Arabidopsis thaliana: one gene and its partner. The protein of the gene in region 2 interacts with the protein of the main gene of each other region in a pairwise test. Each region holds a gene or a part of one and is shown on either strand. Other genes may lie near its edges.

What was found.
Region 1: the proteins of FYPP3 (region 2) and EIR1 interact in a protein complementation assay, tested with the Arabidopsis thaliana proteins (one study listed by BioGRID).

Annotation. Positions count from the first base shown.
Region 1 is NC_003076.8:23,098,447-23,105,839, reverse strand, and holds EIR1 (Auxin efflux carrier family protein), read right to left. Parts: upstream 5,325-7,393; 5' UTR 5,076-5,324; coding exon 4,806-5,075; exon of another isoform or gene 4,655-4,805; intron 4,558-4,654; coding exon 4,255-4,557; intron 3,875-4,254; coding exon 3,430-3,874; intron 3,033-3,429; coding exon 2,763-3,032; intron 2,465-2,762; coding exon 2,197-2,464; intron 2,110-2,196; coding exon 2,024-2,109; intron 1,949-2,023; coding exon 1,791-1,948; intron 1,668-1,790; coding exon 1,591-1,667; intron 1,451-1,590; coding exon 1,384-1,450; 3' UTR 612-1,383; downstream 1-611. Other genes in the region: AT5G57080 (uncharacterized protein), read right to left, coding at 6,472-6,534, 6,756-6,881. UniProt on the Arabidopsis thaliana protein: Acts as a component of the auxin efflux carrier. Seems to be involved in the root-specific auxin transport, and mediates the root gravitropism. Its particular localization suggests a role in the translocation of auxin towards the elongation zone.
Region 2 is NC_003074.8:6,959,887-6,966,095, reverse strand, and holds FYPP3 (flower-specific, phytochrome-associated protein phosphatase 3), read right to left. Parts: upstream 4,361-6,209; 5' UTR 4,089-4,360; coding exon 4,008-4,088; intron 3,722-4,007; coding exon 3,575-3,721; intron 3,488-3,574; coding exon 3,420-3,487; intron 3,179-3,419; coding exon 3,121-3,178; intron 2,633-3,120; coding exon 2,522-2,632; intron 2,439-2,521; coding exon 2,388-2,438; intron 2,283-2,387; coding exon 2,139-2,282; intron 2,049-2,138; coding exon 1,953-2,048; intron 1,860-1,952; coding exon 1,788-1,859; intron 1,419-1,787; coding exon 1,335-1,418; 3' UTR 890-1,334; downstream 1-889. Other genes in the region: AT3G19990 (E3 ubiquitin-protein ligase), read right to left, coding at 1-500; AT3G19970 (alpha/beta-Hydrolases superfamily protein), read right to left, coding at 4,729-4,999, 5,160-5,350, 5,522-5,627, 5,716-6,209. UniProt on the Arabidopsis thaliana protein: Catalytic subunit of protein phosphatase 6 (PP6). Dephosphorylates phosphorylated phytochromes, with a preference toward Pfr forms.

The DNA of each region.
Region 1 (7,393 bases), on a different chromosome or scaffold from region 2:
TATAATAGTAAGGTGCCTAGAGAGACAAGAGCTGTCACTGAGCAAATGTTGTCTCCTACTCAATGCACAAAACCTTCTGAAAACATCAAAACGTATAAATACTTTTACCCTTAGTATACATATGCTATTTCTCTTACGCACTTCATTGAATAATAAATATTTTTACGTGTAAACTATTAAAAGATCTATTGTCAGATAAGTCAGAGGTCAGGACAACTATATAGAGAAGAATTGTTATTGAATTTCTCATGTGTTGTTGTTCGTTCAATTACGTTCCGACCAAAGAGCGAGTTCCAACGTATATCTCATCGTTTTGATACCCCACGTGATCGTTTTCACGTTACACAGTCAACGCCTCCAGAGCCAAGCCATCTTTTCTAGTACATTACATTTACATACTTAAATTCAAGCGCCGATCACCGATACGTTTTGAGGAGCTCATAATTAATCAAACGCAAGGAAAAAGAAGAAAAATAATTTCTATTTCATAAAAACTTTGGACAGTTTGGTTGAAAAGTTTGATCACTCGTTAAGATATTCACACATGTTAGATATGCACAATTTGTCTATAACGCAAAACTTATCATCAGCAACTATCTTACTACACAATCAATTGTCTAGACTAGTGCTTTCATTTGAAATGTTTCTTTCTCCACGCAAATTCTTTGTATCACTCCAAAAATAGTCCGAGTGATATCTTATTGGTGACAGATAAGTATATACTAAAATAAAGGAAAATTAAATTCTATTATAAGTTTGATTGTTCTTTACTCATCGAATTAAAATGCGACTACCTTCAAGCTTCAACCGAATATTACGTTCATAATTTTTTAACAAAAAAAATAACGTTCATAATTAACTTTACATACAAACAAAAACATAAATATATAAGACAAAAGAAATGAAATAAAAAGGTTATATGTGGAAGTATTAGTGCATTTGATCCAAAACAAAATAAAGAATTGTATGGAGATTTAGAAAAGCACAAGATCTAATCTAAACAGACTGCGCGATCTAGTAATACTTGACTAGTATATGATGAAATATTAGTGTAATTTAATAACATGCTTCACGACCATCGATAAATAGAAAAAACTAATCAATAGTAAATAATTGTACTTGCACATCCCAAAAATTTAATAAATGTAACAAAAACTACAAAGTCACGTACATGCATGTGCATATAATTAATTATACAAAGTTATCTAAATTTTCGACTATCATATGCTATAATTTAATTAATGCGACATTGCATGGTCCCATACACCTAAGCCTGACCTGGAATTAGTCTTTTTTCGTTCTTGTAATTATTCTTTTTCGTTTGAAAAAAAATCACCTTTGGGTCGTATCGCCTTTTATTTGCAAATACGTTTTGATAATAACTTAAAGCCCCAAAAGAACGTAGTAGAGTACTGTTACAGGCAAAGCAACCAGCATTCCGAATATAACCCTGAAAAATAATATCAAGTTTTTAGCTTAGGAGATCTCTGTAACTTTGTATAGTTTGAATACCAAATTAATATCTTATATATAGTATTAAAATGAAGTTTAAGAATGAAAATTAAATATTTTATAACTTAAATAACTTACGCAGTGCTGAGAATATCAGGATGGACGTTATATTCTTTGGCGAAAACAAAAGGAACGATTCCTTGAGGAAGAGCAGCCTTCAAAACATACAATTATATATATTCTTATCAATTATATTTTTCAAAGAAACCCAACATCACTAGCTAAAACATCAAACTGTAAGTTAGATTGAAATATATATAAGACTAAAGAGTAATCACCTGAACGATGGCGATATGGAGGAGATCACCTCGAATACCAATTGCTATTGAGGTGGCTGCGATCACGGCTGGTCCAGTCAAGAACCTTACGGCCATCGCAAACCCTGCTACTGATTTTCCGCACGCAATAATCTTTGGTTGCAATGCCATAAATAGACCTATATGTATCAATAATTAGCAAAAAAAAAAGCACCAAAGACTATAACTAAATATATATATGAAGGGAACTATACCAAGACTAAACATAGCCATTCCAAGACCAGCATCAGATAATATCGAAATCGATCCACTCATTATCGTTGGCATCTTTATATTCCACCTGTCCCATAAAATGATCAACAACATCAAGCAATTGCCCAAATATATTGTTATGTTATATGATTGTGACATTATTATTAGTACTTACTTGAAAGAGACAAGGGACCAAGCAAGGCCAAAGAGACTAGAGTAAGTGTTAGGGTTTCGAATGAGTTTTCTCCAAACCATTATCAGAATTAGTCTCGTCATCACACTCGCCGGCGGCATCTGCTGTTTCCTAGGACCGGGACCGCCGTCTTCCACGTCGCTACCTTTTTTGCCCATGTAAGGTGACTTTCCCCCGTTATTACCGTCTTGGTCCATTTCCACATGCCCTTTTCTTCCCGGTGACATGTTCTCTATCAGATTCTGCATCGCTGTCATCACCAAGTATGAATATAATTATAATTAAATATCACAGAAAATACTAAACTAAATTTATTATGACCTTTCTTCGACCAAAAAACTAACTTATAGAAAGCCGTACGGAACCAAATAAAAATCTACTTTAATTAGTTTAAAAGTTTTCATAAGTTTTGAAACTTTGAAAAAACTATAAAAAAAACTTAGAACCGATATTGAGCTTTATACATTTTTCCTAAAAGTTAAAAAAAAAATAGAAGCGTGGCAAGTAATGATAAAAAAAAATATGAAATAAGTTGGAGATTAATAAACCTTTAGTAGCGAGGTTGTCGTGAGGAGGAATAGAAACTTTAGGGTCGGTGGATACATCGGTGGAAGAACCTCTGGTCATAGCATTCTTCGCGTTGGCTTCCGACACCGGAGAAGCACTCGAACTCCACACGAACATGTTCATCTCCTTGTTTTGTCCTCCTACTCCTACTCCGCCACCGCTTCCTCCGCCACCACTTTCCTTTTTCTTGACTCCACTTGCTCCACTCGTTGACCCCGTGAACATTGGGTTCGGCGGTGGGTACGACGGAACTGACCATAAATTATAGAAAATTTTATTTTAAAACATTACATTATAATGAAAAAATCACATTTAAATTTCAAAATACAAAATTAATATTTTGTTTTCCAAAACTATAATCAGTTTAAAAACCTAAGAGTTTTGGAAGTGATATACTAAATTATTATTATTTTGTTAAAAGAAAAAAATAATTACGCAAAATTATTTGATGAACTCTTTACTTAACTTTTAAACCTTTTTAAACCTAATAATATCCCACTTATAATCACCGGTGACTGATGGAAAATAATAATAATATCTGAATCGATTCTTATATCTATTTAAATTTATAAAGAAGCAAAATATATTTTTTTAAAAAAATAAATAAAAAATAAATATATATATATATATATATTAAAAAATTCATACCACTATTATTGTTGTATAATTCCCCACTCATACTTCTGCCTCCTCTTCCTGCTTTCTTCGCCGTCTTCATAACTTCCTCATCAAAATTTGACGTTCTCGGCGTCACGCCTTTAGAAGACTGAAGTGAGTAAACATCTCCACCTGGACCAGCTCCAGCGCCGCCGTAGCTATTAGTGTAACCGTGACGAGGGCTTGGAGCTTTGCTTGCGTTAAACATTGCGTAGAAATCTGTCTGATTAAAGCTAGAAGCTCTCGGCGTCGGCTCTCGTGACGATTGAACGGAGTAAATCTCTACGCCGGTGAGATTTGAAGCTCGCGGCGTTATCATGGAGGAGTTAAGTCCTCCGCCGTGAGATTTGTTGAATGAAGAGATCATTGATGAGGCGGCACTTGATCTTCGAACCACCACGTGTAGCTTTCCGTCGTCTCCTATCTCCGCATCGGTCTAATGAAAGATAAATCCATATTTTTAGGTGATGAATTTCGAGTCGATGTGATTTAAACCGGATATAACCGAATCGGTACAAAAAGAATGAAAATTCAACTAGACTATAGTTAATAACTTGATATTTCTTATATTGTACTAATTATTAAATTCTGCGTGAATAATGTAACACGTCACTTTGAAGATTATTTTTGACTTCTGAAAAAGGAACTCAGACAAAACTCAAAATTTGTTATAGATTTACATAGGCAAAAAGGAATCCCAAAATGACATGTAGTCATGTCGTAACTAGTAACTACCCATTTTCTAGTTTACTTGAGTTAACCGGTCCGTTAATTTGAACAAACATATGAAAAAGGTCATCAGTGAAAAATTCATACCTGGAGGGGTTCACGGCCATTAAGAGAGATAACATCAGAGTCAACTCTGAAGGAAGTAATTGAACCAGCCGTCTCCGGGAACTGCTCGGAGATGAGAAGCTTAGCCCCACGGAACTCAAACAAGAAGAGCATTAATGTATACCATATGATGCTCTGAAGCACCACGATCTGCACCATTAGGTTACCGGAGAAGTCTCCGTACATCGCCCTAAGCAATGGGATTCCCATTACCAACGTGTTAGGCAGTGTTGATAGTGAAAAGAGCGTTATCATCCATTCTAGGCTTCCTCTGCGGCTAAACGCCTAAAAAATAATATCACAATATATACACAAACATGAGAATGTGTGTGTTTAGAGACACATATTACAAAAGAGCTAAAATGTTAACTAAAATATTTACCCGTGTTAAATGACATAGTTACTATACTATAAGCTTTCGATAACCAATATGTTTTCGAGTAAAAATTGACCATCATAGCAATTACTAGTAGACTACCATCACTTAATGAAGATAGATTATGTGCATAGAGAGATTATTGAAAGAGACGGGCCTGCCAAAGAAAGAGTGCGGCGAGGATAACGACTTTCTGAAGAGAATCAGCAGCGAGGAAGTGGTAATTCATTGCATAAGGATCATTGGAGGAGATGAAATGGAAAGAGAGAAGAGGAACCGCGAAAACCGCAACGAACCGGTTTATACCGGAACATTGGTCCGGTGTGAATATCCCCCACCACCGTACCGAACCATAGGCTAATATCATAGCAACGTATAGCGGCACCATAGCCGCTAAAACATCGTACATGTCTTTGCCGGTGATCATTTTGATTTACTTTTTCCGGCGAGAGAGAGAAGAAGAAGAAAAATAGAGATATAGATGAGTATATGTGGTGTGAAATAACGTATTTATGGACAAGGAAGTGAAGTTCCTTGAGACGATATTTAATTAATGTTGTTTGTGTTAAAATAATGGGATTCGTGTTCAAACATTGAATTATAGCTAAGCTTAGCTAGAGAGGATCGTTGGACATTTGAATATCAAATAAACAAAATATAAACCAAAATGCCTTTTTTCTTCCTCGGCATTTTGTGAATGGACAAATACTAATACAGTAATAATTTCAGTCTGAATCTTCTTTGGTCCATAATTTTTCGAAGTGCTCTAGATTTTTTCTTTTTTTCCGTTGATACTAGATATTCCTTCTATCTTTATTACTTCTGCAAAAAGCCGTTATATTTAATTTGAAGAATCTTATCTTGGGATAAGGAAGATTGGTTTACCTTCTGTCTCGTGGTCTAACATTATTTGTAAGTAAAATTAAATGCTTCAGAGATTATAAATTATAATTACACAAATGTTAGATTCAAAATATCTGTAGAGTCAGATACTTGGATCCACTTGTACGTGTAATACAAATTTGTAAATTTAGATTAGATTTTATATTAATAAGAAAACAAATTTGTAAATTTAGATTAGGTTTTATATTAATAAGAAAACAAAAACGATTTTTGTGTAAGCTATTGAGACGGCGAAGGTTGATGGACATGCACATGGTTTTTGCGAGCATCTTACTACACTTTCTGAGCGATCTGCGGTTCCCTGTAAACATCTGATTTTTAATCAGGAAAAATACAATTGTAATTAACTTATCTTTTAATCTTGAAACGGTGTATTTTTGTTTTTAAACGAAAATCTCTTAATGATTTATTATTAACTACAGTCAAAGACATTGGCAATTGGACCGATGAATAATTAGCCTCTCTTCCATATTTAATTGTCGTGTTTTCTTCATATTGCAATTGTTAACGTATTTATCACGCCACGTGATTGGGCGTTTGGGCCTAATGGACCTATGGATCTAACGATGGAGATACTAACTAGATTATCACTAAAATCTCTTTTGAAGTTCCAATATGTATCGAAGACATGGTTTTCCACAATCCGTAGCAAAGACTCCATCAATTCGTTGGTCTCTATGTCATCTACACGATCATCGCGATTTCTTATATCTCTTTAAAAAAAACGGTGAATTGACCAACAAGAAACCTAAAAAGAGTTTGTTCTTCTTTACATCTTCACAAGAGGAAGAAGAATAAAAGCCTTTAATAAGTGATCTCAGTTTTAAACTTTATCCATGTTTTTTTGTTAACTCATGAATTGAAAGAGAACAACCAAAGTGAATGTAGCCTGATAAAACAGGATGAAACTATTGAAAGATTCAAACTTTGTTTACAGAATCATCCTTCTTGGCCACTTCACTACTTTCCAACGGTGGTAAACTCTGCACAAAAGTAAAAAGCAATCAGATTACAAATCTCTCATGGGCAATTCATCGAACACCTTATGTGCATTACAATAAAAGAGAGATCACAGAGCCAGAGAACGAAATGAATGGTTTTAAACCGATCACGCTTATGGGCATTATCAAGAACGAAGAAAGTGAGCAAACCTAATACATTTGAGAACCCTAACATATGTACAGAAAGAGAAGGTGAAGCTTACGAGATCTGGTTTGTAGATGTTGTGGACAACGGAGGCTCCGGCGAGAAGGGAAGCAACGACGACGAGTGTTGACATTGCCAGAGACGGAGTTCCCGTCGGCAACTTTCCTTTATACGGTTTCTTCATCTTTGGCTCTGCTTTTTGACTGAGCGCGCGATATGAAGAGAAATTTGAAAAGCTTTTCGAAATTTTGAACCATCATCAACAAGTTTGCTTTTATAGCAAGTCGGCTTTTTATGATTTGAACGCGCAGCTCTCGCGCGTGAGTAACACGTCACCTCCCTGCCTGAATCTCATTATCTAAGGCCAAAGTTTTGAATTATATAATAAGGTCAAGCTACTCTAAAGAATTATGGAAATATCAAAACACTTTTTTGAGGATCGTTTATAAGCTTCAAGACCATCACTTGACAATCATGAGAGTTCAATACCTCAAACCTCATCAGATATGTCACATCATTCGGTACTGGTAATGATATCCTTGCAAAACATGAATTCAGTTGACATATCATATACATATTACTAGTAAGCTATAAGAATCTCACTCAACACACAAATGAATTTATTCTTAGAGATACATACGACAACCAGTCATTATGACAATCATCAACCAACTTGAAGAAGAATTGCTTGTAAGG
Region 2 (6,209 bases):
TCAACGAGCTCACAATCAGAGTACTTAAACAAAAGCTCATCGTGAATCAGAGTTTGTCTCGGTACAACGCAGAAGAGATGGATCAACGACTCGGCAGCTTCACCGACGTGATCACGGACGACGTCACGACCAGTGGAAGGATCGAAAATAGCTAAATTGACATAGGAATTGGAGTAAGCAGAGTGGAATAGACCACAGAGACAGACGGATTCAGGAGCTTTCCATAGCTTGAGGATCTTGTAGATATCGATTAAGTGATCTAGGAAGCTTCCGTGTTTGTGCCAACACTCGCCGGCACCGACGCTTTTGAGGACGGCGATTAACGACGGGAGTTTGGGGTCGATCTTTTCAAGCTCTCCTCGGAGAAAAGGTCGGGCTGATTCCAGTACGGCGTCGTTCGGGGATGGAGATGATGATGAACCCATTTTGTCTCTATTACTCTCTTTCGGTTGATGATGATCGCTTCTCCAGCATGGAGGATTAAACCTTTTTATTAGCATTAAAAAAAAAAAAAAAAGACTTAAACAATGACTCTTTTAAAAAAACCATTGACCAGGACCACCAGGTTAATATTTTATGATTTCCCTCTATTAGATGACCAAGCAACATTGATGTTCATCGGCAAACAGAACAAGAACTGAACTCCCCCACTTCTCATAGTGTTTCACTGTTTTGTAATAAAAAGAGTTACTATTAATTTTAAATCATACAAGCATGCAACTCACTGAGCAACTCATAGGAGTGTAGTTATATAGTGAAGATTAATTAACTGAAAATTACAAACTAAAAATTGCAATTCTTTTTACCACATTCATGACTGCATATAATAACTTTTTTTTTTTATTGTAAGGACTACCCCTCTCTCCATTACTTGAGACAACAATCTGTATCATAGATCTGAAAGGCAACACACCAAAAGCCGAATGAAATGATTGAATAGCTCGAGACCGACAGGTATTCATTTATTGTTGCGATACTGTCCCATTTGTAACGATGTTTGATTATTTTAGAATTAATGTCATCTTCACAACAACAACAACAAAAACAGAGGAAACAGTACAAGTGAACAATGAAAAAAATAACATTACAGAAGAAAGATTGGGGGAAAGAAAAGAGAGCAGAGAATCAAAATGACTAAGACTATTACCAAAGTGTTTGACTTGTAACTTTCACAAGGGAAATGTAACCTAAAGGACAAAAATAATGATAGTAAGCGAAACCCATCAGTAGATAATATATATAATCATATATTAACCTTTTCCACATTGAACTGAACATATTGCCAATGGCAGCAATGGCTTCATCATCACAGCAAATATAATAAGTGTGATTCTTCATAGGAAATACGGAACTCCAGTCCTTGGCCCTCTCATTTGATTGTTCTCTTCTGTCTCTGTGAAGAACTTCACTTCCCTTTCCTGGTAATACAAACATTTCAATCGATTTCATCACTAACCCATGCAGGAAGGAGGATCCTAGTAGCACAGACAGCTTGAATCTATGGTCAATGAAAATCCACTACAAATGCAGAAACAGAATCTATGGCTCACACAGATATTCAAACCTCATTGCACATGGCTTACTTGATTTAAATTCTCTAAATTACTTTCTATAATCTTCCTAGATCCATTAATTCAAAGAGGCACATAGCAAATCAACAAGAGTGTACATATTTTGATAGAGTAGAATCTTAAAAGAAATGATTAAAATCACTGAAGTAATAGAATCCCTTCTTGCTGACAGAGAAGATTAGAGTATTCATTTAGGAAAGACTAAGAGAGGCTCACCATGTTGTCATTGAAACTCAATATAGAAGCGACATTCCCACAGCGGTAACAGTAATTAGGTGCAGACCATACCTTCACAAACAAAACAAAATTAACAATCACTAAGCAGAGTTTCAAAACGCCCACTAATAAAAAATATCAATTCATTAGAAGCAGGACACTCACAGTTACAAGGCCTTTATCTTGGAACATGTACTTAAGACCTTCTTGTACAAGTTGGTGCGCGCGGCATACTAGATCCAGCTTGTTGATATGGTTAAACTGCACAAGAAGCCAGAACCAAAGATCAGAGATGTGAAATTAATTTCTTAGTTACAGTATCAATTCAAGCTTTTGAGAAAGTAAACATACCTCAGTGGTAACCCTGGATCCGAAAAGCCAACCAGCTCCACGTGGACTAACCGCCCATGTTTCAATATCTTCAGGATCACTCCACATAAGATCGCAAAAGGGCCCTTCATGAGGAATTTCGCAATTTCGCTCGATCAGTCTTATCTAGAGCCCACAGCAAATCTATGTGAGTGGAGGACCTTAATAACATGCCAAGCTAGAAGCATAATTGACGGGTGAAAGCCACAAGCAATAAAAGCAGAGTTTAACCTGATCAATTGTCCGGACATCCGGGGAAAGGCCACCGTGAACACATAGAACCTAGACAAAGCAAACTATTTTAGTATAACATACAGCTATATGTGTTCTCATCAACAATGCCAAGTTGCTAAGAAATCACTTACTGTGCCATCTATAATAGCTGACAGGGTAAGATAGTCAAAAACATCTGTGCAATATCGCCACGCATTAGCGTTACCATACTTCCTCTGGCATTCGTCATAGAAACCATACACCTAAAAAAGTAAATCAAATGGTTCTGTGTTATAAAGGAGTTCAATGTCGAGAATCCATGTATAATTTTGATCATCTAGTCAGCAGATTCACGAAATGCATATTTGAATTGCACTTTAAGAGGTATGATTGCAGACTAAGTCTTAGTAAAGGTTTGCCAGGAATGCATTCAAATACAAAATTATCACCACACTTTCTTCCTTAAAAACCTATGTATCAACTAGAACACTAAGGATTACACACATGCTAAAAAGGAGACTGGTACTATATGAAGCACCTTCTGAAATTAGCTTTCCAATACTTGATTCACATAAAATGCATCTTAGCTAACATCGATGTCTACATCTGACATGACATTGCCACATGTAGTACAAAATCAGAACTTTCAAAACCCTGCTGTAACAACGAGAAGATAATCAACATTGCTTACCTCCTAGGAACAGCGTGAAAAGCAGAATAATAGATATAAGTGGAACAGAATAACACATACCTGCGTTAGCTGCCTACTTTCATGATTTCCGCGCAAAAGTGTAATATTGGCTGGATATCTACATATTAGAATACAAAGAACAGAGAAACATGAGATGCTAAAGAAACAATATCATTCTCGTTTGGACTAATTTTGAATGCAATACGTTACTGGGACTATTTCTTCCAAAGAAAGATAAATAATTATCAAGATTAATTGCTTAATAAACAATAAGTTCGTATTAAGCACGAACAAAAAAAAACTTAAAGGCAAAGATTCAATGATAACAGGAATCTCCAGAACATTTATGAGCACCTTACCTAGCTTTAAGAAGTAAAAGAATAGTGAAGACTTCAAGGCTGTTGTAACCTCTATCCACGAAGTCCCCCTGCGAATTTCCCACACCAGATTATGATTGTATTCATAATTTCATATCAATATGTCATACAAGACACCACAAAAGAAAACTCGGTACCATAAAAATGTAATTGGTGTCGGGAACATGACCTCCGGTCTGAAAAAGCTTCATAAGATCATGAAACTGGCCATGGATATCACCACATACGGTGACTGGACTGTTTACAGGCTGTACGTTTGACTCCTCAATCAGAATCTCTTTCACCTGTATAACATTATGATAAACATCTTCTGGTTAACACCATGATTCATCTTCGCAAATCTATAAATCAATCGCTGAGAAAGGAGACCATAAAATGGTATCTAAACTACAAAATTGATGCCTCCATAGTTGAAAAGAAAGAAAAATCCTAAAATCACTACAGACCAGATCGAAGTCACGTTCCACTAAGGTATATAAATACAGATCAAACCAAGCAGAGAAGAGCACAAGAAGCTTAATCGACCAAGAGAAGAAATCAAGTAAGAAGAAGAAGAAGAAGAAGGCGTACGTATTCGCAGAGAAGCTGAAGCTCGTCTTCGGAGAGATGCTGACCATCTTTAACCTTGGAAATCCATTGATCCAAATCCATAACTCTCTCTCTATATATATATACCTCTGACTGGTAAAATCTTCAACACTTTCGTTCGATTTCAATAGCGACTTTTCTGGGAAAAAAGAGGAATCGAATCGAATCGAGATAGATCTACCAGAGAATCTTCGACTTCGTTAGGGTTACGTAAGAGGAGGAGATGAAAGAGAGAATGAGAGGTTCGAGTTTCACAAAATGACACATACGGCAAAAAGAAAAAAAGATCCCAGATCGATCTCTGCCGCTTCCAACGCAAATCAAACTTTTGCGTTTGTCAAAACGCAATCGTTGACGAACCAGCGTCTCATAAGAAATACGATTGTGATCCCTCATACTTCTAAAAATTATGAGAATTGCCAAAAACTTTATGATTGGGTTCTTAACAACCCTCTTTGAACAAATAACAAAAGACAACCATAAGATCCAAATCTCCACTACAAAGGACAAGGACGTCACTTTCTTGAATCTTCATTCTCCTAAATGTACAATATCCAACAATTTACAAAGGAATAATGAATTTGAATCTATAAACCAATCCAAACCAAAAAGAATCATCAATCAGTAACTATTTTTCTCTTTCTTGTATAAGAGTTAAAAGGACCCCAAAAATGGTTAGCAACAACAACACTTGTGGAAGTCGCTATGAAGAATGGTGGCAGCAAGAAAGGACAAAGTTGTTCATGAAATGGTTGAGCTCAGCTGTATACAGTTCTGGGTTACTCCGGAAATGGTCTACATGAGGTGAAGATATGAAGTTGCAAGCACGGACCTCATGTCCTGCTTTCCTCTGCTCTACAATGAATGATTCAACTTGTTCCACCGGTATAACTCTGTCTGCAGAGCTGTAAATGTATAACTGTGGACAACTTGGTTGTGCTGTTGATAATGTGTCAAGAACATCGGCAAGTCTCCTGTTAAAAATATGATTGCACGCATTTGTTAGTGTGAAATCATAGGATATGGGTGACAAGAATGAGTGAAGAGATATGATTGCCCGCATTTGTTAGTGTGAAATCATAGGATTTGGGTAAAAGAATGAGTGACGAAACGCGGAGTTTTATTGTATGTTACCTGTTTACTTTGGGAAGATTTAGAATCACCGCAAAGAACTTTTCAAGAACCAAAAGCAAAGCTGTTTCTGTTGCAGCGGGTTTAGGCTGGGAGATGTTTATACCGTTTGACTCATATGATGAGCTCGCAGATCCTTTAGTGGCTACACTGCTTTTCTTCAAGAACGCAGCTGAGAAACCTGATGCCCATACCTGTTTTAACAAAGCCAAATTAGTATCCAGAAAGTTCAAGCGAATAGTGCAGAAATCTATAAAAAGAATAGCACCCATCAGCGTCTAGCAAATCAGGTATCCAAGCCTATGATTTAGCACAAGCCAAATGACCATATAAACATGGCTATGAATGCAAGAATCATCGCTTACCGTAGGATCTGCAGCAGCAACAGGAGCTGAGTCCACTATGCAACCTTTAACTCTTCCCATCAATGATGAATCTTGCTTCTGAAACTTTTCCAAAATGGCTCCATATCTGCATAGATGAGAAACTCGCTTAGTAAAATGTAAAACCGCCATGTAACTATGTAAGCACATGAAAAAAACAGAGATATTAAACTCACGTTAACCACCCGGTGTTGCTGAAGGTGTGAAAGACGAGATTTTTCTTTTGCTCTTCATCCAACCAATCAGCCAAGTGATTAACCAGCGACTCGATGTTCTTCTCTGCTTTCCCTCCAACTTGATAACTCATAATCTCATTCATCGGAAGAGTAAATGTAATGACATGGTAACCCTTTGAAGTGTACCAATCAGCATATTTCTTCAGATGCTTCTGCTTTGATCCAAGCCATCCAAGCAAAACCACAACAGTTCTATTCTTTTCAGACACACAACTCGAAGAACCAGACATATCGACTGCACTAGGCTCAGGTAAATGCCATCTGTAGGAAATATCAGGAACCACAAGTGAGGCACCGATTGTGAATGCAACCGGTTTCGATGCTTTAGCCAACTCTGCAGACTGATAAACACTACGAAGAGCGGACAGAGAAGTAACAGAAGTAGCGAGACTACAGCTAGGATTAGAAGCTAGGAGATCAACATTTGGTACAGG